Drosophila melanogaster: one gene and its partners. The protein of the gene in region 1 interacts with the protein of each later gene in a pairwise test. Each region holds a gene or a part of one and is shown on either strand. Other genes may lie near its edges.

Evidence for each region. The genes of interacting proteins can lie anywhere in the genome.
Region 2: the proteins of CG15754 (region 1) and Fbp2 interact in a two-hybrid assay, tested with the Drosophila melanogaster proteins (one large-scale study listed by BioGRID).
Region 3: the proteins of CG15754 (region 1) and mRpL35 interact in a two-hybrid assay, tested with the Drosophila melanogaster proteins (one large-scale study listed by BioGRID).

Annotation. Positions count from the first base shown.
Region 1 is NC_004354.4:13,523,469-13,531,427, reverse strand, and holds CG15754 (uncharacterized protein), read right to left. Parts: upstream 3,423-7,959; 5' UTR 3,416-3,422; coding exon 2,814-3,415; intron 2,672-2,813; exon of another isoform or gene 2,610-2,671; coding exon 2,440-2,609; exon of another isoform or gene 2,370-2,439; coding exon 2,296-2,369; 3' UTR 2,148-2,295; downstream 1-2,147. Other genes in the region: CG44428 (uncharacterized protein), read left to right, coding at 1,324-1,611.
Region 2 is NT_033779.5:9,423,546-9,431,325, forward strand, and holds Fbp2 (Fat body protein 2), read left to right. Parts: upstream 1-3,238; 5' UTR 3,239-3,389; coding exon 3,390-3,713; intron 3,714-3,773; coding exon 3,774-4,220; 3' UTR 4,221-4,372; downstream 4,373-7,780. Other genes in the region: Mco1 (multicopper oxidase 1), read left to right, coding at 1-2,084, 2,151-2,555; CG42847 (uncharacterized protein), read left to right, coding at 4,478-4,850, 4,905-4,957; FucTB (alpha1,3-fucosyltransferase B), read right to left, coding at 5,285-5,800, 5,867-6,044, 6,478-6,884, 7,152-7,385.
Region 3 is NT_033777.3:22,020,211-22,027,749, reverse strand, and holds mRpL35 (mitochondrial ribosomal protein L35), read right to left. Parts: upstream 4,224-7,539; 5' UTR 4,143-4,223; coding exon 4,118-4,142; intron 4,054-4,117; coding exon 3,542-4,053; 3' UTR 3,409-3,541; downstream 1-3,408. Other genes in the region: Cchl (cytochrome c heme lyase), read left to right, coding at 713-1,302, 1,360-1,615; CG6028 (uncharacterized protein), read left to right, coding at 2,346-2,610, 2,697-2,824, 2,896-3,384; mitofilin, read left to right, coding at 4,819-4,863, 5,121-5,350, 5,484-5,957, 6,018-6,166, 6,230-6,925, 7,028-7,048, 7,142-7,300, 7,358-7,539.

The sequences.
Region 1 (7,959 bases):
TAATGCAAAAGGTCGGCATATACAGATATATATATATATAAATGTATATATCTATTTACGCCGTGTATAGCGCTATAAAGCCACGCGCAAGATATGCAAATAGACGGGACAATATGAGCCACAATGAAATCTTGTTACTTTTTACTTTTCAAATGCAAAGAAGACTCACAAAATGTTCTGTTCTCGCCGTTTGTTGATTTAGGCAAATTCGTATTTAAGCCAGAGTCAAGCAAACTTTGGGGACCCGCGGATGTGGCTCCAGATTCGGTTGGGGGTTTATGGTGGATGCGGATGCGGATGTGGACGTGGACGTGGATGCGGGCAACCCCTTTTGGCGACTTGGACCAAACAATTTACCCAGAATTTGCGCGTCCGTCTTGGGATAGTCGCGAAAAGAAAAACACAGGAGCAGCCATCACAGAATATACAGGCAGACCTCCTTAACTTGAACATTAAAAAAAAAAAACTGATTATTTTATGGTCGAAATTCGGAAAAACGGCCTTTGGTAAAAATTTAATATTGTTTGAATTGCATTATTGTCATAACTTGGCTAAAAATTATCATAAAAATGAAAGAATTACTGTTTTGAGCAGCTAATTACTAATGCTAACCAACCCTATTTCTGTTTTGACGGATTTGGGAAAAAAAATTTTTGGGTCAGTTTTGGCATTTTCGGTAAGGGGTAACATCGTCAAAATTTGCAAAAAATTGCGAAAAAATGGAATTCCCATTTTTGGACACAGTTCGATTGCGGATTTAATTACAAGCTCGACGAGATATGACATTCCATATTCCGACAAATATTTTTAAAGTTGTGGCAAAAAAACTGATTATTTGATGACCAAAATTCGGAAAAACAGCTTTTGCCAAAAATTTGATATTTACAAACGGAATTTTCGTCATAACTTCGTTAAAATTGGTCATACAGATGAAGGAATAACTGTTTTGAGCAGCTAATTACAAGTGCTAACGATCCATATCACTTTTTGAAGAATTTAGGGAAATAAATTTTTTGGTCAATTTTGGCATTTTCGGTAAGGGGTAACATCATCAAAATTTGCAAAAAATGGCGAAAAAATAAAATGCCACATTTTAAATGCCAATCGATTGGAAATGAAATTACGAGCTCAGCAAGTTATGACATTCTACATTAAACCGAATTTTTTGCCTTTTTCTCATACAGAAACTGTGGCTTAATAGAAATTCATCAGGTCTACAATCCGTTGTGGCGAAGTCGACCTGTAGCGGTGGGCAGAACGCTGCAGAAAGAGCAGGAGATACGGCGGGAAGTTGAGACAAAAGGCGCTTCATCAGCAACAACAATGACAGCTAACAAACAACCGTTAAGTGCCGCAACAAATCGCCAAAAATTGAAAACTGTGGGAATACTGCTGCACGTCAGGGACGCCGCAAAAGCCGCGCCAAGCTCACACATAGCTACAAATCTCGTTTGCCCACGGTGGGACGCGTACACAGAGAGAAAATGTGGGGTAAAACAAAAATTAGGAGTATTAGAATGGCAAATTCGGGCTGCAAGTACCAAATCATATAATATATATATATATCTTTTGATGTTATCTAATATTGTTAAAGATTTAATGAAACTGTGATTAGTGATCTACAGTTTCTCTCTGTGTAGTAGAGCGAACTGGAGTACCGAGGAGGCGAGCGAAAATAAAAGACAATAAAAACAAATAAAAAGTATTTTAAAATGCCATTTGAATTAAACTTGAAACCGAGAACCAACCGAAGGCAACTGAAACACAGTGGCAAAAATAAAGGCGAATAAAATGAATGAAACAAAAAGCGGCGCCAAAGCAAACAAGGAAGTGATGACTGTACGGGTAAGCCCCGAGAAGTCGGTTAAGCGATTGTTATGCTTCTTATGCGCTCAAGTTCTTTATGGACCACGGTTTCCTGTTTTTATTCCCAAACAATCGTGCTTAAAGGAATTTGGCCATAAAGTATACCAAAATACGGTCGGACTCTCCTAATTTCAAGCAAATAAATTTTCAGCCATTTATGTGGCGGATAGCTTAATATTTTGAAATTTATGTGTGGAACTTATGTCTTTATTCTTAGAAAACTAGAGCGCCAACTTTATCAGTCTTACCAGTTTAGATCGAAATTATTCACACATTGCGGACATTTTCCATACATATATTTACATTCGTGCACAAAAAAATTAGGGCAGTTACCACTTTCTTTAGTTAAGATTTGTGTTATTTGATTTTAAAGTCACACATTCAACGTTTGGTTTCTGATTATTTACGGATTATTTTCGTCTATTATTTTTAAGCATTTTGGAAGCAATTAACACGCGGTATGGCATCGCGCCTCACAATTGGCGGCGTCCTCAGAAACTCAACTGCAATAATATGTGCACATATGTATTTAAACATATTTTATCTATATAAGGACTAAGGAAAATTCGTTACCTGGACGCGGCTGATAGCCCTCGGAATCGGCTCTGTAGCATCGAAGCTCATATCTCAGGCCCTGGGAATCGTGACGGGGCTGGACATAGAAGCCCTCAACCACCCGGCCATGCTGCTCCTCCGAATAGTAGCCCTTCTCCCAGCGACGAATGCCATGGGGAATGGAGTAGCTGGCCAAATAATAATATCAATTAAATGTCCTAAATATATAGTTATTAAGATAAACGTTCTGAAATTCGAGTTAAGTGAATGGTTATGTTTTCCCCACTCTACTTGCCAAAGATGAGAAGAAGGCTTAGTTCACAGCCAAATCTATAGTTTCCAATTCGCCTTTTTAATAGTCATGGTAACGGCTTTTCGGCCAGCAAACTCACCCAAAGATATAGCTTCCGTCTTCGTTGAGTTCATAGAAATTGTCGCGCCAGGCATTATAATCCTCCAGCTCCTCGTCCACCTGACCACCAGCCAGCTCCTCCAAGACGCCTCCTGGTTGCGGTAGAGCTGGTGGCAGTGGCTGAGGTTGCGGAGTGGCCTCCTCCTGCTCCTCTTCGTCTTCCTCCTCCTCTTCTGCCTCTTCCGCCTCGCCGTCCTGGTCCGGGGACTCTTCTTCCTGGCCCTGATCCGGATCGGTGGCGAACTGGGAACGGGCAGCCGCCCCCGAGCTGGGTGATGCAATGGCCGGCTGTCGCCTGGTGAATGGCGTGGTGGCCAAGGGGGCAAAGGCGGTGGCCAGCTGGTCGCCCAGAAGTTGCTTCAGTTGCTCCCGCATCTCATCGCTGGTCTCCTGGCTCTCGCTGCTTCCGCTGCTCGACGTCGATGCCGATCGGGTGTCGAATCTCTCGAAGCTCTCGCCCCCAATGTTGGGCACCTGCAGATTTCGCGGCGGAACGCGAACCGGTGTCCTTTGGCCAGAGGTCAGGAGCAAGGCGCAGAGCAGCAGGTGCAGCTGCAGCAGATGATACTGATTGGATGGCATCTTGGGCGCTGACTACCGACCCCTCCGGCGCGATTCACTTTTATATGGGACTCCAAACCGACTCCGATGAGCTGGCCACTCACACGACTGACCACAAATTAGCCGCAGCATCGACCGAGTGCATAAATCTATGGAAAACAATAGCAAAGCGCGCGACAATTTGCATTTCGCACAGCGAGCTCCAGATTCAGATACACGCCCGATTATCCGCCAGATACAAGATAGAACGTTAGTGACTCGTAAATACTGCACTTCTCCCAAAATAAAAAACCATCAATCACGAATACAAAAAATAATAGTCCACTTTGGGAAAATAAATAATATTCATCCCTTTCTTCCTATTAAATAAGTACAATACGATATCCTATTTGGTATTTCTATCATAAAAAAAAGTTTAAAAAATCTGTAAAGCATCCCTGCTACTTACATACCCTTTAAAAAGCCCATCACAACCTGTTTATTCGCGATACCACGTACTTTATTCGTTTCAGCCATGATTGTGGATTGTGATACCTCCGGGCGGTGCGGTCCAGCTGAATGTGAATACGAATACGGGTGTTTCCCTCTAATTGGGCCATCCGATTGCCTCCGGTTCCGTGTTTACCAACAGATCCACACTCAAGTGTCATCTACTTTCGGGCCGGTTCTGCCGGCTAATGGCATATTTTCGGGCTGAGTTTGGAGCGATTGAAGCGCGGCCACCCGGGAATTAAGACAACAACTGCGTTCACATTTCCACAAAATTAATTTTTATTCGATCGCTTTGGGCTTATTTTACACACATTCAGATATTCAGATACTCACAAATCCTCACACACAATACCCTTCGGTATAAAGTCCTAAGGATTCCTTTAGGAATGCCTAGATGGGAATACAAACACTCGCAAGGAAAATTTTTGGCGAGAAGGGTATATTCTATGCTCTTATCTCTTTCGCCATATCCATTTAATCCATACATTTTGAAGCATTTTTTCAAGTATTTATTTGGATGCTCGTATGTGTATACATTTTTTGTCGCTCGACAATTTACAATTACAATTACAATGCTTGCAGTCATTTTGAAAAAAAAGACAAGGTTTTAAATATTCTTTTTTGCTGGGTTTCTCTGTAGTTCATTTTGATACTTTCAGTATTTATGTATATGTTTTTATAAAAAAAAATATTATACATTTAACTTAATCCTAGGCATAGCTGACTTATAGTACACATTGTTATCGATTTCCTTTTTTTTTAGCTTTAGTGTTTTATACTTTAATATAGTTTCTTGATGCTTGTATCTGTTTTTTTTTTTAGTAAAATCGCTAAATTTCATCTTAAATTTTACCTAGAAAAAGTTCACTACGGGTTTCAGGGTTACAACAAATTAATAAAAATTCATTTAACAATTATAAGTGGGTCTTGCTTAAGCCTAAAAAAACGTAAATTTTCTCTTTAGTTTTATGTACAAACAGATCTTTACATACGTATTTTCTAAAATGATGTGTTTAGGGAAAGTGTTAATTTTTCTAAGTTGGAACCTTTGGTCCTAAATTAGTTTATTTTTTTTTTTAGAAAAGCTAACAAAATATAATAGTGAATGTTTCCTAAAAATAAATGTACATTTTGCATGTATATTCATTAGTTTTTTTGCATTTTTAGTTCGTTTTGCGTGTCTTAAAAATAAATTTTATGTTGAAAAATGTTTTGGATTTTGTAGAAAATTTAAACAAATGTTAGCAGTGTAAAATTGTCTCACAAAAAATACACAATTGGCAACATTTTCTTTGCTGACTTATCGTGTTTAGTATATTTGCATAAACTTGATGCTGAAAGCTATATCCTTGGCTGATTTGAGAGACAAGATGATAAGGGTCAAGATGCTTAAAATACGTAGTAAGCTTAATAGAAGTGTGAAAGAAATTTACCAGTATAAGTACAAACTTTCATCGGGGGGGAAAAAAAACATTACAATTGGCTGAATTCATTTTGACAGAATTTAGAGCTTAAGAATTCTCCATGACTGATTTGAGAGAGCTCAAGTTGATGAGGGTCCGAGTCAAGTCAAAGGAACTCTTGTCAAGTCAGCTCGACCTTTAATCACTCTAATGATTTGAGCTTTCCCTAGAGCAATATAAAAATCGTGCAGCACTGCACCATCATCATCATCACCACCATTATCATTATCAGACATCGGTCTTGTAATTTTCCCCCGTTTTCCCGCGTGACTGTCGCTGCTCTTTAAATTCAATCAATCAAATGGATTTGCCACACCCTCGCTTCCTCATTGTCATTGTCATCTTTATTTTTGCAGAAGCCATTCCACCACTTTTTTTTTTGGCCAGCTGCGACAATATTTACACCATCGAAACCACTCAGACCACTCAAATTGTCGGTCGGGATGATCCTGGCCAACTGAATACCAGAAATCCGAATACCCAAAACCGAAAACCGAAAACCCAAAAGCAACCGCATTACGGTGACCACGCTAATTGCGGACCAACGAATTCCAGATTGTGAGTGGGGAAACTTTTTACAGGTGCGGAGATATCTGTGGCCACAGCTAATTTATCTAATTGAAAGGGATTTAGATGCAAGATGAACTAAATAGATTACCTAGGTCCTTCGTTAACCCATCGAGTGCTGCACGAATGTCAACATTAGTTAGGGAAATACTTCGGTTTTCACTTTAAGGCCTTTGAGCTTTCAACTTATATTTTAAATATATTTGAATAAAATTTAAGATAGATAAAATAAAATTTCAAGCTAAATGATTTCAATATGATTTGTGCTATTTCACAAAGAACTTATATAGAAAAACACACATGAAGAGCACTAAAGAATTTCCCAACATATTTTTGTTGCCGAAAACACAAATAAACCCGCCACTGTTGCTGGCCAAATTTTCGGTCATTATTAATTAACGGATTCAAATGGAGGACTTGATGTGGTTTTTTAATAGAGGAGAGAATGAATTTCATAAAACTAGCGCAGTGGACCACTCCGATTTCAATTAAAAAAAAAAACCATTTTCACGCAAATAGCTTGTTGGAAGTTGCAGGGGGCGCGGCAAGAGAGCCATATCCCGTTGCAAAACCCCAAACCCCTACCCCAAATGTCGCCGGAGCCAAGACCGAAATGGAGCCACGAGCACGTGCCCGTGATGGATGGACTCTGGCCGCGACATCGTCGTGAAATGGACCACGTCCGCAATGCATGTAAATGAAGAAGTTCCTGTCGAGCATTTTTCCAAGCTGCAAACCGGCTTTTGGGGGAAAAGTGAAAATGTGGAAAGGTGTGTATGCTTGCTAGAATGCTAGAATGGAGTCCGATAACAATGTTCTGGAACATGTTGCTCATACGCCACGTTGTCAGCGGTCTGCTTAGTGTCTGTCCGGCCCACATTCATTCCCACTCCCACTACCACGTATTTGTATCTGCATTCGCATCCGCATCCGGATCCGCATCCCCATCCGTATCTGTGTCCTGCGTTCGCATTGTTTTCTGAGCAGAAAATGCCGCTGTCGCAGCCGTAGAATGTCCGGCAAATGTCGCCAGCAATTGCGGTCCGCCGGCTACAACAACTGGAACAGCTCTCTCTCTCTCTCTCTCTTAGAGTTTTCTCCTGGCCAGGACCCTTCGCTCCTCCTATTACCCAGATGGCTATTGCAAAGGGGCTGGCCGAGGCCAATGGACCGACACACATCTTCCATTTGTCTCGCCCAGTCAGCCCCAGTTGCTGTCCAGCTATTAGTGGGCTTATGTCGTCTTAAAGGCCCTTCAATTGGCTGTTACACCATTTATTTTGCCCAACCATTTCGGCCATTTGACATCCTGCACTTGGTGTGGAAATTTCGAATAAAAATGTACATAGGTCGAACCAAAAGTAATTGCAGATGCAATCGTCCTGCATTCTAAATATATTCATATATACTCAGTTGCGGCGAATATATGTTTGAATATTTAACAAAGTTATCAATTGAAATAAATATGTACAATTAAGTGTTTTTCAAGGAGCTTATGAGCTGAAGGTGACCCATTAAATATTAAATAACATAAATAAATTAAACGCAACTGTATGTACATTCTGCGCTCATAAGCAAGTTCCCAAATACTATATAGTGAGTTTAAAAACTTTTTTAAAACAATAGTTACTGATAAAGTTTCGAAGTCTTCATTACGAAAAAACTTGTGACTGCAGCAGTTTAAAAAAGAACGCATTCACCTTGCTTTAAGAACCAAACGAGTGCAACGGAATGCGAACCGGATGCGGATGTGTGGGCGATGGTGGGTGGTTGTGGGTGCGGGTGTGGGCGTGGACGTGGGTGGGCGTAGCGAAAAAACACCAGCAGCACCACCGCCCCTTTGTCTGATTGCAACGCGCCTCCTCGGTGTCCTTGTTGTGTCATCAGCGACGCTGCGGCTGCGGTTAATATGTTGGCCGATGTCCAGTTGCTGCAACGCATCCTCTTTGCGCCGATGTTGCTGCTGCTCCTCCTGCTGCAGCTGCTGCTGCTGCTGCTGCTCCTCCTGCTCCTCGTGCTCTCTACCGTCGTTGTTGTTGTTGC
Region 2 (7,780 bases), on another chromosome or scaffold:
GTTCCGAGCTGCGTAGTGTCGAAGGCAGTTGCTGCGGGGAGTGTGTAAGGACTCACTGTCAACACAACCACACTCTGTATGCGGTGGGTGAATCATGGCACAATGATGCCGATTGCACGCTCATCGAATGTGGACGTCTGGATAATGGACAGATTGTAATGAATACATACAAGAGAAATTGTCCGGCTTTGACTGAAGATTGTCCAGCTTCAAGATTGGAGGAGCGAAACTGTTGTCCCTACTGCAGGCCCCTCCAAACGGCCAGGATTGAGGAGCTGCAGGACAATGTAGCGGAGAGCACGGATGATATTTGGACAGCCGAATGGTATCGAAACCATCCCTGCAATCGGGATTGTCAAGTGGGAGCCGAACCCATGACCTGTCGCTACAAGTTCGTGGTGGAATGGTACCAGACCTTTTCCAAAGCCTGCTACGATTGTCCACGGAATCTTACGGACTGCTCCCGACCACATTGTGTCATGGGCGATGGTTTAGAGCGGAGTATCACTGTGGTCAATCGTATGATGCCCGGGCCAGCGATTGAAGTCTGTGAGGGCGATGAAATAGTGGTCGATGTGAAGAATCATTTGTTGGGCGAAAGCACATCGATTCACTGGCATGGTCTGCACCAGAAGAAGACACCCTATATGGATGGTGTACCACACATCACTCAGTGTCCAATTACTCCACATGCGACCTTCAGGTATTCCTTTCCAGCCGATCTCTCCGGCACTCACTTCTGGCATTCGCACACTGGCATGCAGCGAGGTGATGGAGTTTTCGGTGCCTTAATCATCCGGAAACCAAAGACAGCCGAACCACACGGAGGACTCTACGACTTTGACCTCAGCGAGCATGTGATGATTGTCCAGGATTGGATACATGACACAGGTGCCAGCATATTTTCCTATCATCATCACTCCCGAGGTGATAATAAGCCCCACAATCTGCTCGTGAACGGCAAGGGACGTTACTATAATCGCATTTGGGCGGAAGCGAAGCAAGCTCATCGCAGAGCTGAGGAGAGAACTACCCAACCGGTGGAACCATTGCCCAAGTCCCAGGTGGACTTCGTTCAGACACTACCGAGACAAGCTCGATTGGCTAAAACTAATACAACCAAACTATTTCCCGTGAATTCCCGCCAAAAGAGGGGTAATTTAAATGAGATACCCTTGGAACTAGTTCCCCATCAGATTTACACAGTGAGAAGAGGTTTTCGTTATCGCTTCAGAATTATAAATGCGGAATATCTAAACTGTCCTATTGTGGTGTCTATTGACGGTCATAACTTGACAGCCATAAACTCGGATGGCTTTGATATTGAGGCAATGGACGTGGGCTCTATAGTTACCTATTCCGGTGAGCGATTTGATTTTGTACTAAATGCCAATCTCGAGGTTGGAAACTATTGGATTCGACTAAAGGGTTTGATGGACTGCAGCGAAGTCTTTACTTCCGCCTTTCAAGTGGCCATTCTTCGCTATGAGGGAGCTCCAGATGAAGAGCCTACTGCGGAATTGAGTTACGGCCACAAGGCTGAGGGCATTGAACTGAATGTGATGAACCGCGGTCCTGGTTACCCGGACACCAAAACCGTTGCAGAAATGAGGGCTCTGCCCATCTATGATCATGTCTCGGGCATCGATCACGATACACTGAAACCGGAAGCGGACTACAAGTTCTTCATCTACTACGATTTCTATACTAAGAATAATCCCGATTTTCACGATAAAGATCTTTATGCCATGGACATGGAGATGACCCAGCAGAATCGCCTATACACGCCTCAACTGAATCATATAACCTTAAATTTTCCTTCGCTAGCACTGCTACCTTCCAGGAGTCAGCTAAAGGACTCGGACTTCTGTAACGAAACGAGCTTAATGGATCAGGGTATCGATTGTCGCCAGGAGTTCTGCAAGTGTCATCATGTCCTGCAGGTTCCATTGGGCGCCGTGGTCGAGATGATCATCGTGGACGAGGGATTCCAATACTATGCCAATCATCCCTTTCATTTGCATGGAAACGCCTTCAGAGTCATGGGATTGGAGCGTTTGGGCGAAAATGTCACCGTTGAAATGGTTAGTAACTTTGTTCGAAGGAAATAAAAAATATTTATTTAACTTGTAACTATTTATATTCTCAAGATAAAACAACTGGATCAGTTCAATCTACTCAAGCGGAATCTGGACAATCCACCCGTGAAGGACACAGTTACTATTCCAGATGGAGGCTATACCATCATCAGATTCGAGGCCTCTAATCCGGGCTATTGGCTTTTCCATTGCCACATCGAATTCCATGCCGAGATCGGTATGGCTCTGGTCTTCAAAGTGGGTAACGACGATCAAATGGTTCCGGTGCCAGAGAACTTTCCCACCTGCGGCGATTATAATCCAGACTTAAGATCTGATGGAGGAACTACAGAAGATTCGGGATCCAGCAAGCCGATAACAGCTACTCCCCCAAATACAGGAGGCGGTGGATCGGGTCTGGAACCCACTTGGATTACATTGATGATTAGTTCCATGCTAGTGAAACTCTATCGATAAGAGCTGGCCTTCAAAAGAGAGCACAATCCAAACTTGCCAAACGAAATTTAGAGATTATTTATTGAAGAGTTGGAAAGATCGTGTAGATCAAATTGATTTTGATTGATGTAGAAATATATTTGTTTTCCGGCACCTGTACATATTCCATACAAAAATATTCGCATCGTTGTAGCATAAGCATCTGTGATTGTCTAAGAAAATGTTTAAATAAGTCATTTAAATAAATATCTAAATGTTTTTGTAAGATTTTTGGTGTTTCTAATGAAGAGGTAGAATCTTATAATCATGAGTGTAAAATTGCTCTCAAAGATATATATTGAAAAACAAATTTTAACTTTAATGTACATATATATAGAATTCCACAAAACGTAAAATAAATCTGTTTCAAATGTTCCTAATTATTGCAACAATTTATTCGGCAAATTCTACAATTTTATTGTATAATGAGGAACCCAGTCGAAATATTGATATTTCGTCAGGTGGCTGGAGATCAGATGAACCAGCCAACGACCTCGTCGTCGAAAGCTGTCTTATCTGGTCCCTTCTGGCAACAGCTGGCTACGGTCTTGTTGTCGTCTTTTCCAACTCAAAATATCAGGAATGGACAGGGACCTGATCTTCACCCGTTGACCCGATGAAGATAGCTGAAATTATGGCGATGTTATTGCAATCCGAATAAAGTCATCACATTAAATGCGCTGGACATCTGGAATCGGTGCATCTGTGGTGTTATATAAGAGCAGCCACCTACTAGCTTAACATCAGACAGAGTTAGTCACTCATCACATCACAATCCAAGCCACGTCAACCCCAAATAATTAACCCCAAGCAAAAATGTTTGACTGGACCGGTAAGAATGTTGTCTATGTGGGCAGCTTCAGCGGCATTGGATGGCAGATGATGATGCAGCTGATGCAGAAGGACATCAAGATGATGGGCATTATGCATCGCATGGAGAACGTTAAGATGATGAAGAAGCTGCAGGCCATTAATCCATCCGTGAAAGTGGTCTTCATGCAAATGAACCTCATGGAAAAGATGTCGATCGAACAGGCGATGAAGAAAATGGGTCAAATGATGGGACACATTGATGTGATGATCAATGGCGAGGGTGTCCTGCTCGACAAGGATGTGGAGACTACGATGGGCATGAATCTGGTAAGGAATAGATAATTAAATTATTGATTGGTATCTCAACTTCTAAATCCTTTCCCACAGACTGGCATGATCCAGTCGACGATGATGGCCATGCCCTACATGGACAAGACACAGATGGGCATGGGTGGCATGGTGGTTAACATGTCCTCTGTCTATGGCCTGGAACCCGCGCCCGCCTTTTCTGTCTACGCCGCTGCCATGCACGGCATCCTCGGATTCACCCGCTCCATGGGCGACAAGATGATCTACCAAAAGACCGGCGTCATGTTCATGGCCATGTGCCCGGGACTCACCAACAGCGAGATGATTATGAACCTGCGCGACAACGTTACCTGGCACCACTCCGAATCCATGGTGGAGGCCATCGAGAGCGCCAAGCGCCAAATGCCCGAGGAGGCAGCCATGCAAATGATCCACGCGATGGAGATGATGAAGAACGGCAGCATGTGGATTGTGAGCATGGGCCAGCTGAAGGAGGTTACGCCCACGATGCACTGGCAGATGTAAATGGCTTAGTTGAGCGATTATTTGTTAAATCATTTCAAAAAAAAAAATATATAAAAATATTAGGCCTCCCAGTTTGTTTCTTGTTCAATCTAGCTACCATTTACAAATATTTCTTATCTTATAACGATTCCGTGTAGAGAGTATAACTAAATACTTACAAAATTTTGTTTTCCATTGAGATCGTCTTATAAAAATATTTTTTATATAAATATTGGTTCAAAATTTGCAAGACTCGGCTTCTTACCAACAGATGTACCATGTCGAATTATAGGGTTACATATAAAAATCGATGCATTAGCTGTGGCGTCGAAGTACCAGTCCTTTCCACAAATGGATGCCATTTCAAAGTTCAGGACAAATTTAATTCTTGTGGCTCCAAAATAAGCAATCCTCGAAAACGGCCGAGTCAAATAAAAAGGCACAGGAATATTTCTCAAAGAAAGCTAAATAATGGTTTTAAATGGTCTTCATCATCTACGAAAAAACGATTCTATCCGTTAGTAAAGAAACAAAAATTGTTGATGTCCTCAGAGCCCTCTCATAAGGCTCTAATTTTAAGAGAGATGATTAGGTTAGGAAGAAAACCGAATCGAAAGTTCGAAAAGGCTGCGAGAAATAGTGTATTTCCGGGTAAGTAATCATAATGCAATTTAAACATATCATAACGAAAACTTTAATTCTTAGGCATCTGCCGTACGATATTGAAACTGCACCAGTATACTAATCTTGTACAGTAGAGATTACTGATGTCACAGATTCTTTTGAGATCAAAGTCCCCACCATATGGAATCATTTGGATGGATGGATCAATGGATGTAGATGAAATGGGTACATGCAGACATATATTTTTAGAAGAATCAATGGAAATTTAAGTATTTAAATATTTATTAAGCTAACGTACTTATATTGTGTACAACAGTTTTCAATTAAATGGAATAGGAAAATAAAGTCCTGGATGAGGTACATTTACATTGTAAATACCAGAAATGACAGCTTATTGTAAATAGTTTAATATACATTTATTATCACATGGTAAAGTCTGTATGATTGACGTATTTTTCGAATTAAGTATTTGAACTATTACTGCAATTGTTTCCCTCAATCCTCCGATTGAGCTCAGCATCAAACTCTGCGTCATTGAAACCGATGTCTCGACGGAAGAACTCATCGAGTACCTTAGCTTGGCACTGGCCTACCTCCATTGCGGCTCGCCAATCCGCGACATTTTGAGGAATTTTCTGACCCTCCATCTTAGCATACACCGGTTCCAGGGGACAATTGTAATGACGCAAGTCGGCCTTCACGTTCCTGGCAGTATTGATTACATGGTAGCACACTGCACACTCGAACTTCTCAAAGAGTGATGCTCCCGGAGAAGAATCGCCTATGTGGTACTGGCGCGTGACAAGGTTGTGGAGTAGCTTTTTGTTGGAAATGGGGTTACGCCGATTTAGTTTGTGTTGGCGGTACGAATTGTACAGCTTTTTGTTATCCGCCAACTTATTGAGATACTCTACCAATGCCTGAGGATTTTGAAAGTCGTTCACAAAAATTGCAGATTTATTATTCGGTTCCCAGTCCTGCAATATTTGTAGAATGTAATAAAAAAAAAATTGTGAAAATTATTATTTGAAATACGGACTTACTTTTATGGTGGGTGAGCCAAAGTAAATTGGAATAACTCCCATTATCAAAGGACGCCAAAACTTTTCGGTAATATAATCCGGACAGGCAGCGTTCTCAATGGCAATCATGAACTTGTATTCGGACAGGAAACGCAGCAACTCCGGTGAATATAAATTATTCAAGTAATCCTTCTGCAAGCTAAAACAAAATCAATAGGCATTGAACAATTTTTACGATTTCGATTGCAAATTAGATATTAGTGTTTTTCAGCTCGACATGAAGGGCATCCGCATCTTCCGTTGCTATCTTGGTCAGAATCATTTGAACTATTTTGAGACTCCATTATTGAATCGTCATCACAGAAAAGAGGTTCTTCTAGATCTTTATGATTTCCCTGACGACAGCAGCATTCTCTGGAAACGTTGCTCATTTGAGGCAGCGAGCCGTACAACTGCACCCAGCACTCTGAACAACAGACCTTGGGAAGCTCGTTGGCACTTGGTGATGTCATGATGGCAAAGGAATTTTAGAACGATAGTGTTTCACGTGATGTGTTTGTCACGCGTGTTTGTTATGAGTGTGTAAAATGTTTGGGATTATAAATAGGATACAAATGGAATAGCCTACTTGCCTCTCTGGCAGATCTCTATTCCGTAGGCAGCTGCCGTAGGAATCGATCGGAAGATGTTTCATCAGTTCCTTTACGTAGTCCTCCCTTCCAGACATCGTGTCGCAGTCGCTTTGGAGGAACACCACCGATGTGGATGGACGGTATCCGTACTTTGACTTGCCGTCAAACGTAACATAGTAATCCTTCGAAGTAAGCGCCTCGCCACTGGGCAAGTACATCGTAGTCAGCGGCAAGTTGCTGTAGCGGCTAAACGTGGATGTGAAATGGAAGTGGCGAAGGAACTCTTTATTGGACACAAAAGGGGTGTTCCTTGGTGATTCTTCATGCAGTAGGGCCCAGATTTGGTGCTCGTTCCGAGGCAGGGGAAAGTCTCCCGTCTTTATGTTTGAGCCGTAAAACAGGACGCCCTGTGAAAAATGTAAGAGACATTCCGTTATTATTATATCAAATTACAATGAATCTACAATTACATATCTTACTGAAGTAAGCGAATTTGTATCTGCAGTGCTATGCATTTCTCAGTCTAAGCTATGTGTTTACATATTTTTCAGAACTATGGTACAGTATCTCAAACAGTTGGAGCCCTATATTATTATTATTTTCAATCCAATTCTTATCATGTCTGCCGGATGTGAAACAAAAAGAAATCTAGACTTTTGGTTTTTGAAACGAACCCGGGCCCACGGACGGCGGCTCCGCTTGTTGGTGATGCGGCAAGTATGAATTCCGCACTGGCGCTGCACGTCGTAATTCCAGGACATATCCCTGGACCACCAGACCAGCTCCACAGGACTGTTGAACTTGATGTTTTCGTAGTTAATGATATTTTCCGACCAGAAGAACAATACGGTCGCCCCAACCATAAGCAGCGCAACCAGTGCAATTCCGTAACGTTGTGCCAGTCGCATGATTATCTTTGCAGTTCTTTGCTAGCTAGATAATCAAAATTATTCGCTGCACCACTTCGAAAAGATTCAAAAAGCCGGTGCGCCGCAATTTCGCTCGAGCGCCCCAATTTCGACTGTCAGTCGTCAGCTGATTTTGCTCAGATGTAGTGTTGGATAACGTTTGGTATTTTTGAGACACGATTTGCACGATACGATTGTATGCCAGGAAATGTATAAACATTTTTATTTAAAAAATAAAACAGTTCTGCCTGAATGTTTAATATAATTAAAACATATAATTATTATTCAACTTAAATTTTTAAAGCATAATTCTATTTATTTGATATTTTGTTTTTTAGATATTCAAATTACATTAATTATATTAACTAAACATATACTATATTTATTTTCTGTTA
Region 3 (7,539 bases), on another chromosome or scaffold:
AAACAAATTTCGGGCTATGGTTGGTGTTGGAAAACTCCCCGAATAGGGCTGTCAAGGTATCCGTTCAAATATCAAAAATGTAAAATCAAAATGTTTGTCTATGCTTTAACTGCGACTTTTCTCAGAATCAGAAAGAATTTCATATGAAATGAAATTTAACCCAGTATTTTAAAAACTTTATATAACACTTACAAAATAACATTTTAATGTATAAATGTATTTGTTTTACTTTTTAAAAATATCGCAAAGCGACTGCTCAACACTACACAGCACAGCTGGGGTGTTTAACTACAAGTTAATTTACTTGAAATAAATTCAACAATGCTTTTCATTTGTAGACAGACACACACCATAAACTCACATTGCCGTGCGGTGCGAGTTGATTTTTTAAATTTTTAACTTAACATATTGTCACGGTGCAGAAACAACTGGTCCACTTTCCGTTGGTCTGGCAGCCCTGACCACAACCTCGCTGCATTTTGGGCTCAAAAGTTCTAACGATGAACTAACGAAAATATAAATCAAAATTTAAGGCGAAAGGCTCCAGGAGAAGATCGACAAATATCGAGAGTTGTGACCATTAGGATCGAGTAAGTCCTGGCGTTGGGGCCCAGCACTGGGAGTGTAACCCACTCCTTACAGTTACGCAACTGAGAACTAATGCGATTTTCCTCGTGACACAGATTTTGTTATTAACCAATCCCCAGCAGAAATGGGCAATACAGCCATCACCCGAGTGCAAATGGAGGCCACGAAGAGTGTGCCGGTGGACCACGCCAAGTACATGAGCGGCAGTGGTGCCCCGCCACCAGAATGCCCCATGCATCAGAAGCATGGAGATGCAAAATCGGCCTCCGCCGTACCCCCACATCCCAAGATGCAGGCCGCTTCCGAATGTCCGGTGCAGCACGACAACAGCGACGTTAATCCGCTGAATATGATGCCACCGGCAAACCAACAGCCGGCGGCAGATCAGCCCTTTCCACTGCCCACCGACCGCCAGACGTCGACCATTCCCAAAGTCACCGAGGATGGCAGCGTTCAATTCTGGCAGTATCCCAGCCAACAGATGTTCTGGAACGCCATGCTACGCAAGGGCTGGCGCTGGAAGACCGAGGACGTATCGCAAAAGGACATGGGCGACATCATACGCATCCACAATGCCAACAACGAGCAGGCCTGGCAGGAGGTACTTAAGTGGGAGGCGCTTCACGCCAAGGAATGCGGCAATCCGCGCCTCAAGAGTTTCGGTGGCAAGGCCAAGGACTTCAGTCCGCGCGCTCGATTCCGCAGCTGGCTGGGGTGAGTATACTCCAGACGGAAGATCTCACCTGAATTAATGTTCGAATTGTCTTACAGATACGAGCTGCCATTCGATAGGCATGACTGGATAGTCGATCGCTGCGGCAAGGATGTGCGCTACGTCATCGACTACTACGACGGTGGACTGGTGGACAAAGACTACCGCTTTGCCCTGCTGGATGTGCGCCCAGCCATGGACTCCGTGGACAACGTTTGGGACAGAATGCGCGTAGCTTACATGCGCTGGAAGTACGAGCTGTTTGAGAAGTTTGGCAGCGCGGATGGCGGCAAAGTGACCGCTGGTAGCGACTAGATGGAATGCATATTTAGATGATCGCTATAGGTACAAAATCGGCTTAAGTTATCGAATGGATGGAAGAGGGAGTTTGGTTAAATGCGTTTAAGACGCTGCGAAGCGAAACGATGTTGAGCCCTCTCTTTAAATAAATGTTGAATCTTGACTTCTGAACACCAAAATTCGAATGTGGTTTTGCTTTTTATTTTATTCTTTACTTAAATCCTTTTAAGGATTTCGAATTATCCAGTAACGAGTTGATAGCATTGTGGAGGAATATATTAATTAAAGTTTTTTTTTATTGATATACTTATGTATATGCAGAATTCTCATCTGTTCAAAATGCCTGTAAAAATTTTTTTTCTTAATCTTTAGTTTTATATTTTATTTATATGCTCTTTAAAATGATTGCGAAATTATAAAAATACGTTTACTACTTTTTTATCATTACTACAAATTTAAAAAATGTATAGTAAATAGAATATAACTTTAGACGTTTCTTAACTTTTTTAACATACATTTTCTGATAAAAAGTTGATATGCAACCCATAACATTATATGTATGTTTATATGTATGATGCTTTTCTAACACCTGCGGCTTCAGGGGGTTAATGTCTGGCAGTGTTGAAAAGCGCGTGTAAATTCTTTAACTGATTGCTGGTGCCCTCATTACGTGAGATTCGAGTTTGGCCACTGGAGCGTTAATTGGATAGCCGCGATAGATTCGTTCGACGTAAATCAGTCATAAATGCAAGCTGCCAGAATGAGGTTCGTTCAATACCTGCGAAAAGGTGACTTGGCCAAGCGACTTGGTCTACTGTCCGAGGATCAAAAGTCGCTGGTGGAATTTGCCGGCTTGGAGGGTGTGCCCAGCGATCTAAAGATCCTGATTGCCCAGGATCCCAATCTGGAGGAACTGGCGAAGAAGGCCGAAAAGCAGCCGCGACTCGAGGTGAATGATGATGTCACTTTGCTGCCGCCTCTTACCGATCCCGGCAAGATCATCTGCATTGGTAAAGAATGAATTAACATACATATGTATAAACATATGTAGTTGGACCCTGACCTTCAAAATGACGTATTCTCGATCTGCTTGCAGGTCTGAACTACCAGGACCACTGCGATGAGCAGAACAAGCCGACCCCCAAGGAACCATTGTTCTTTAGCAAGTTTAACAATGCCCTGGTGGGTCCTCAAGATAATGTCATCGCTCATGCGGCCAGCAGCGTAAGTGAAGCAAGAGATAACAAGAGATAGGCTCATCGAGATAACCAACCGACCAAAAAAAAATTCCACAGAAAATCGATTGGGAGGTTGAGCTGGTCTGTGTCATTGGCAAGGTCGCCCGCCAGGTGCCCAAATCGCAGGCCATGGACTATGTCTTCGGGTATTCGGTGGCCCAGGATATCTCCGCCCGCGACTGGCAGAAGGAACGCAACGGTGGTCAGTTCCTTATGGGCAAGTCGATGGACACTTTTCTGCCGCTGGGACCGGCTGTGGTGCACAAGAGTCTGGTGCCGGATGTTTACAACTTGAATCTGAAAACCTGGGTCAACGGCGTGGAGAAGCAGAACGGCAATACCGGCAACTTGATCTTCAAGCTGGACGATGTGATCAATCGTCTGTCGCAGACCATTACCCTGCTGCCCGGCGACATCATAGTCACCGGAACGCCCAAGGGCGTGGGCATGCATCGCACTCCGCCGGAATTCCTTCAGCCCGGTGATGTCGTGCAGTCGGAGATTGTTGGATTGGGCAAGCTGTGCAACAAGATTGTGGCTCCCTAAGATTGTCAACTCATTTGGCTTGTTGTGTTTGTAAAGTTTGTGTTATTAGTGAAACAATGGCATTTAATAGATGATTTTGTAGTTTTCAATAGATAAACTATAATCAGATATTTTGGTTTTGTTTAATTCAAGTATGTAGTATCTTTGATTAGCCAGGTCACACCTTAAAGGTCTTTGACTGTGTGGCGTAGTACTCGTTGCGGCTGTGATAGGGCTTATAGGGATCGTTGATGAAATGCTTTGGGCGCCGCCAATAGCTGGTGACCATCTTGTCCAGCAGCCAGCTCTGCGTGGCATTGGTGAAGACGTGCTGCTTGAGGCGGCGTCGTAAAGCTGCGGATTTCTTGAAGAGCTTCTTTTGGCGACCGGAATGGGTGCGTATCCAGGCGCCCCAGTCCAGGCGCTTAAAACGTTTCAGTACCGCCTTGACGGTCTTTCGTTTACCCTTCACCAGCGAGAATTTGGTCACGTTGCGTGTGTTTGATGGTGTTCCTGTGGCTGCTAGCACACCCGGCAGCTGCAGGAGCTGGTGATGAGCAGGAGATGCCAGTGATGGCGTGGGCAACAGGCACGGACGGGATAGAGTCATCAAAGTGGCACGTTGTGTCCGCTGGACCAGAGGAACCAACGAAGATGCAGCCGGCGACTGGCGGCAAACGCTTCGCAGCGCTGAAAGTTAAGAACAATTAAAGTAACGTAAACTTGTAAGCCCTATTAGCTGACTTCAACTTACCGCTTGTCACAAAAGTTCTTAGCATTTCACTTAAAACGACAAAGATAAACCTATAATTCCATACAAAACGCAGGTGCTCTTCTTCTTATCGAATCGCGTAACAGTCAGCTGTGTGCCATTCACAGCGAACAAACATAGATTAGCTTGCTATTGGAGATGGGAACCGGTCATCATAAGAACTATCGCAAATGTTTTGGGATTCACCCAAGGAATGGATCAAGTTCAATTTTTCGTTGATAACAATTAAGGCAAAAGGATCCCTTAACCATGTAATCCATTTGTAGAACACTGACAATTCTGACAATTTAAAACTTGTTATAAAAATTGTTGCTTAAACTTATGCGCCCATCTCCAAATCAAATGTATTTTGACTGGCCTATCGAGTACATGCGTATATGTTGCCGACACTTTTTCCATCAAAACACAAACCAAAATTGAGTGATCAAATTCGAGTGGCGCGGGCAAGCGAAACGAAAAGGACGACGAGCAGCACGCAGGACTCGTGTGCGTGTGCGTGGGAGTGTGGGGAATGGAAGAGGAAGCAGCAGCACTGGCCAGCCATTCACCCACCAGCGCTGACGCAGTCGAGCCAGCTTCGAACGAATTGGGCAATATTTAATTCACGCCGCCGGGACTTGAAATTTACGGTAGCCGAAGGAGCAGGAGCACGAGCAGAGCAGGATCACAGCAAAATCAACACCATGTATCGGCTAGCGGTGCGAGATCAGTGCAAGTGCGCCCTGCAGGTGAATTTTTGACCCATTCATTTCTAGCTATTTGATAACGTGAAAATCGATCGTCACGTTGCCCCACACCCCCGCGCGCCCACAAACAAGCGGTTGGCGAAAATACAACAAGAGGCGCTGGTTATGTCATCTACCAAGCCCAGGAATTGGGCGAAAAGCTCCAAAATTCCAGTTGACCAAGGGCGCGGGGGTATCAACGGGCTTGCCAATTTCCTTAAATGTGATGGTCCTAAATGTATTACCTTTCATTGCAACAGCGTACGCTGCAGCAGACGACCGCAAACAACAGGCAATTCGGCGGAAGCAGCAGCGGAAGTGGCGGCCGGGAACAGGGCAGGCGGCAGCAGGAGGAGCAGGGACAGCAAGGCGATCAAGGATATCAAGGATACCAGAGCCTGCCACCGCATATGCGCGAAGCTGGCTTCGGCAAAGTGGTCCTCTTCGTCTCACCACTGGCAGCTGTCGGCGGTGTCATCACCTACGCCAAGTAAATAGAGCCACAATAGAGGTTTAAGATAAGGATAGGCAGTCCACCTGTAGATCAACAAAAATTCGTACACATTTTATTGCACCTGAAATGCTTAAATGAACCATCGAATAATGTAGAAATCCTTTTCCAGATACGACGACGACTTCCGCAAATTGGTGGAGAAGAATGTACCCGGCGCAGGATCCGTCATCAAGGTGGCTCTGCAGGAGGAACCGCCATTCAAGGGCATCACCAAGAACGTCAACGATCAGATCGATAAGGTCAAGTCTGGCATCGAGACAGTGACGTCCACGGTGGACTCCGTTACATCTAAGGTGACGGGCCTGTTTGGCGGCGGCAGCGGCGATGACAAGTCCAAGAAGTCCAAAGTGGAGCCCGTGAAGGCCACTCCTGCTGAGGAAAAGAGACCCTCAAAACCAAGCGAAGTCAGCAAGACTGAAGCGAAGCCAGTGTCGAAGCCAGCAGCAGCAGCAGCGCCTGCGCCCGCTGCCAAGCCTAAGGATAATCCGCTGCCCCGCGATGTTGTTGAGCTGGAGAAAGCCATCGAGCTGTCTGCTCAACTGGCCGTCAAGGAGTACAACGTCGCTATTGGCGTTTTGAAAGGGTGAGCAATTCTCGTTAACTATTCGTTGCGTGATTTTAAATTTAATCAAATATCGTTCAGCTTTAATGACGATGTCCGTAAGGTTGTAGACAAGGCCGTAGAGAATGGAGAGAACTCTCTTTGGACCACGCTGAAAAATCGAGCAAGTGCCCGTGATACGGCAGTGGCTACGGCAGAGCGAGCTGCCCGTGAGGCTCAGGAGAAGATTGGTAAGTCCATTGTTTGTTAAATAGATTCCAAATTTCAGTAACATTCCCTTCTATCAACTGCAGTCGCCTGCGAGATCGCCCTGAGTGCTGCGGCAACGGCCCAAAACGCAAAGAAAGTAGAGGCAGTGCGCGACAAGATCAAGAAGCTTGTGGACCACATTGGCAACGTAAAGGACGAGCTTTACCGGCACAAGGACACGGCCAGCGTGTCAGACAAGTACTGGCGGAATGTGGAGAAGGCGCGAAACTACTTCATTGACGAGATCGAGTCTATCTTCCCCGGCCTCAGTTTGGCGGATAAGAAACTTAATCTGTCAAAGGAGGACCTAGACTTGTTCATCCTGCACGCCTACACCCATGTCCTGGCCTACCAGAAGGAGCTGCAGCGCTTGCAAACCGATGGTGAGCTGCGCCTGAAGAGAGCTATTGACTCGGTTCGCGGTGACAACGATTCGGAGGCTTTGCGCGCCCAACTGGAATACCATTTGGAGGCCGAGCGGCGCAAACTGGCCGTGGAAAATCAAAAGAAAATCTTCCACATCCACGCCGAGTCTGATAAGCTGCTGCGCTTGCAGCTCAAAAAGCAAGCAGAGGCCCACGCCGATCATATAAAGGACATCGTGGCGCAGCGGGAGACCGATCTGACGCGAAGCTTTAAGCGTGAACTTGAGGATAAGCTGGCGACCGAAAAGGCCAACTATAAGTTACAATTGGCCGGGATGCTCGGCAAGCTGCGCGGAATGGACGCGGCTCTGGCAGGTAAGTTATACGTTTTAAACGATATCGGTTGAATGTAGCTAGTGTAGCGTGGCTAGATATATAATGGTTTTCAAACCTTTTCAAAACATGCTGCTATATTAGAGATAGAGGATGAGTTTCAAGGTATATTCACCCTATATGAAGGGTAGTACTTATACCAACTTATTCTTGGTTTAATCAAAATGTTTATTGACATTATATGCAACATTTTTGCAGAGCGTGCGGATGCAGAGCGTACTGCCAATCAGGCGCAGGCCCTTTGGGCCGCCTGCCAAGCTCTGTGGGCCTCCGTGCGCGCTGCCACTCCTGGCGTGCACTATAAGGATAGGTTGCGCCCGTTAAAGAACGAGATCAATGCCATTGCCAAGGTGGCTAGTAAGTTGAAACGTTTCCCACATTTCGATTTCAGTTGCTAAATGCATATGCTTACAGAGGGTGACGACCTGGTGGCCGCTGTGCTGGAAAGCGTCCCGAAGGAGGCTCAGGAGCGCGGTGTCTATCCAGAAGATGCATTGCGCGAGCGTTTCCTGAATGTGGAGCGCGTGGCGCGACGATTGGCTTTGGTGCCCGAGGAAGGAGCCGGCCTGCCCATCTACTTCCTGTCCTATCTGCAA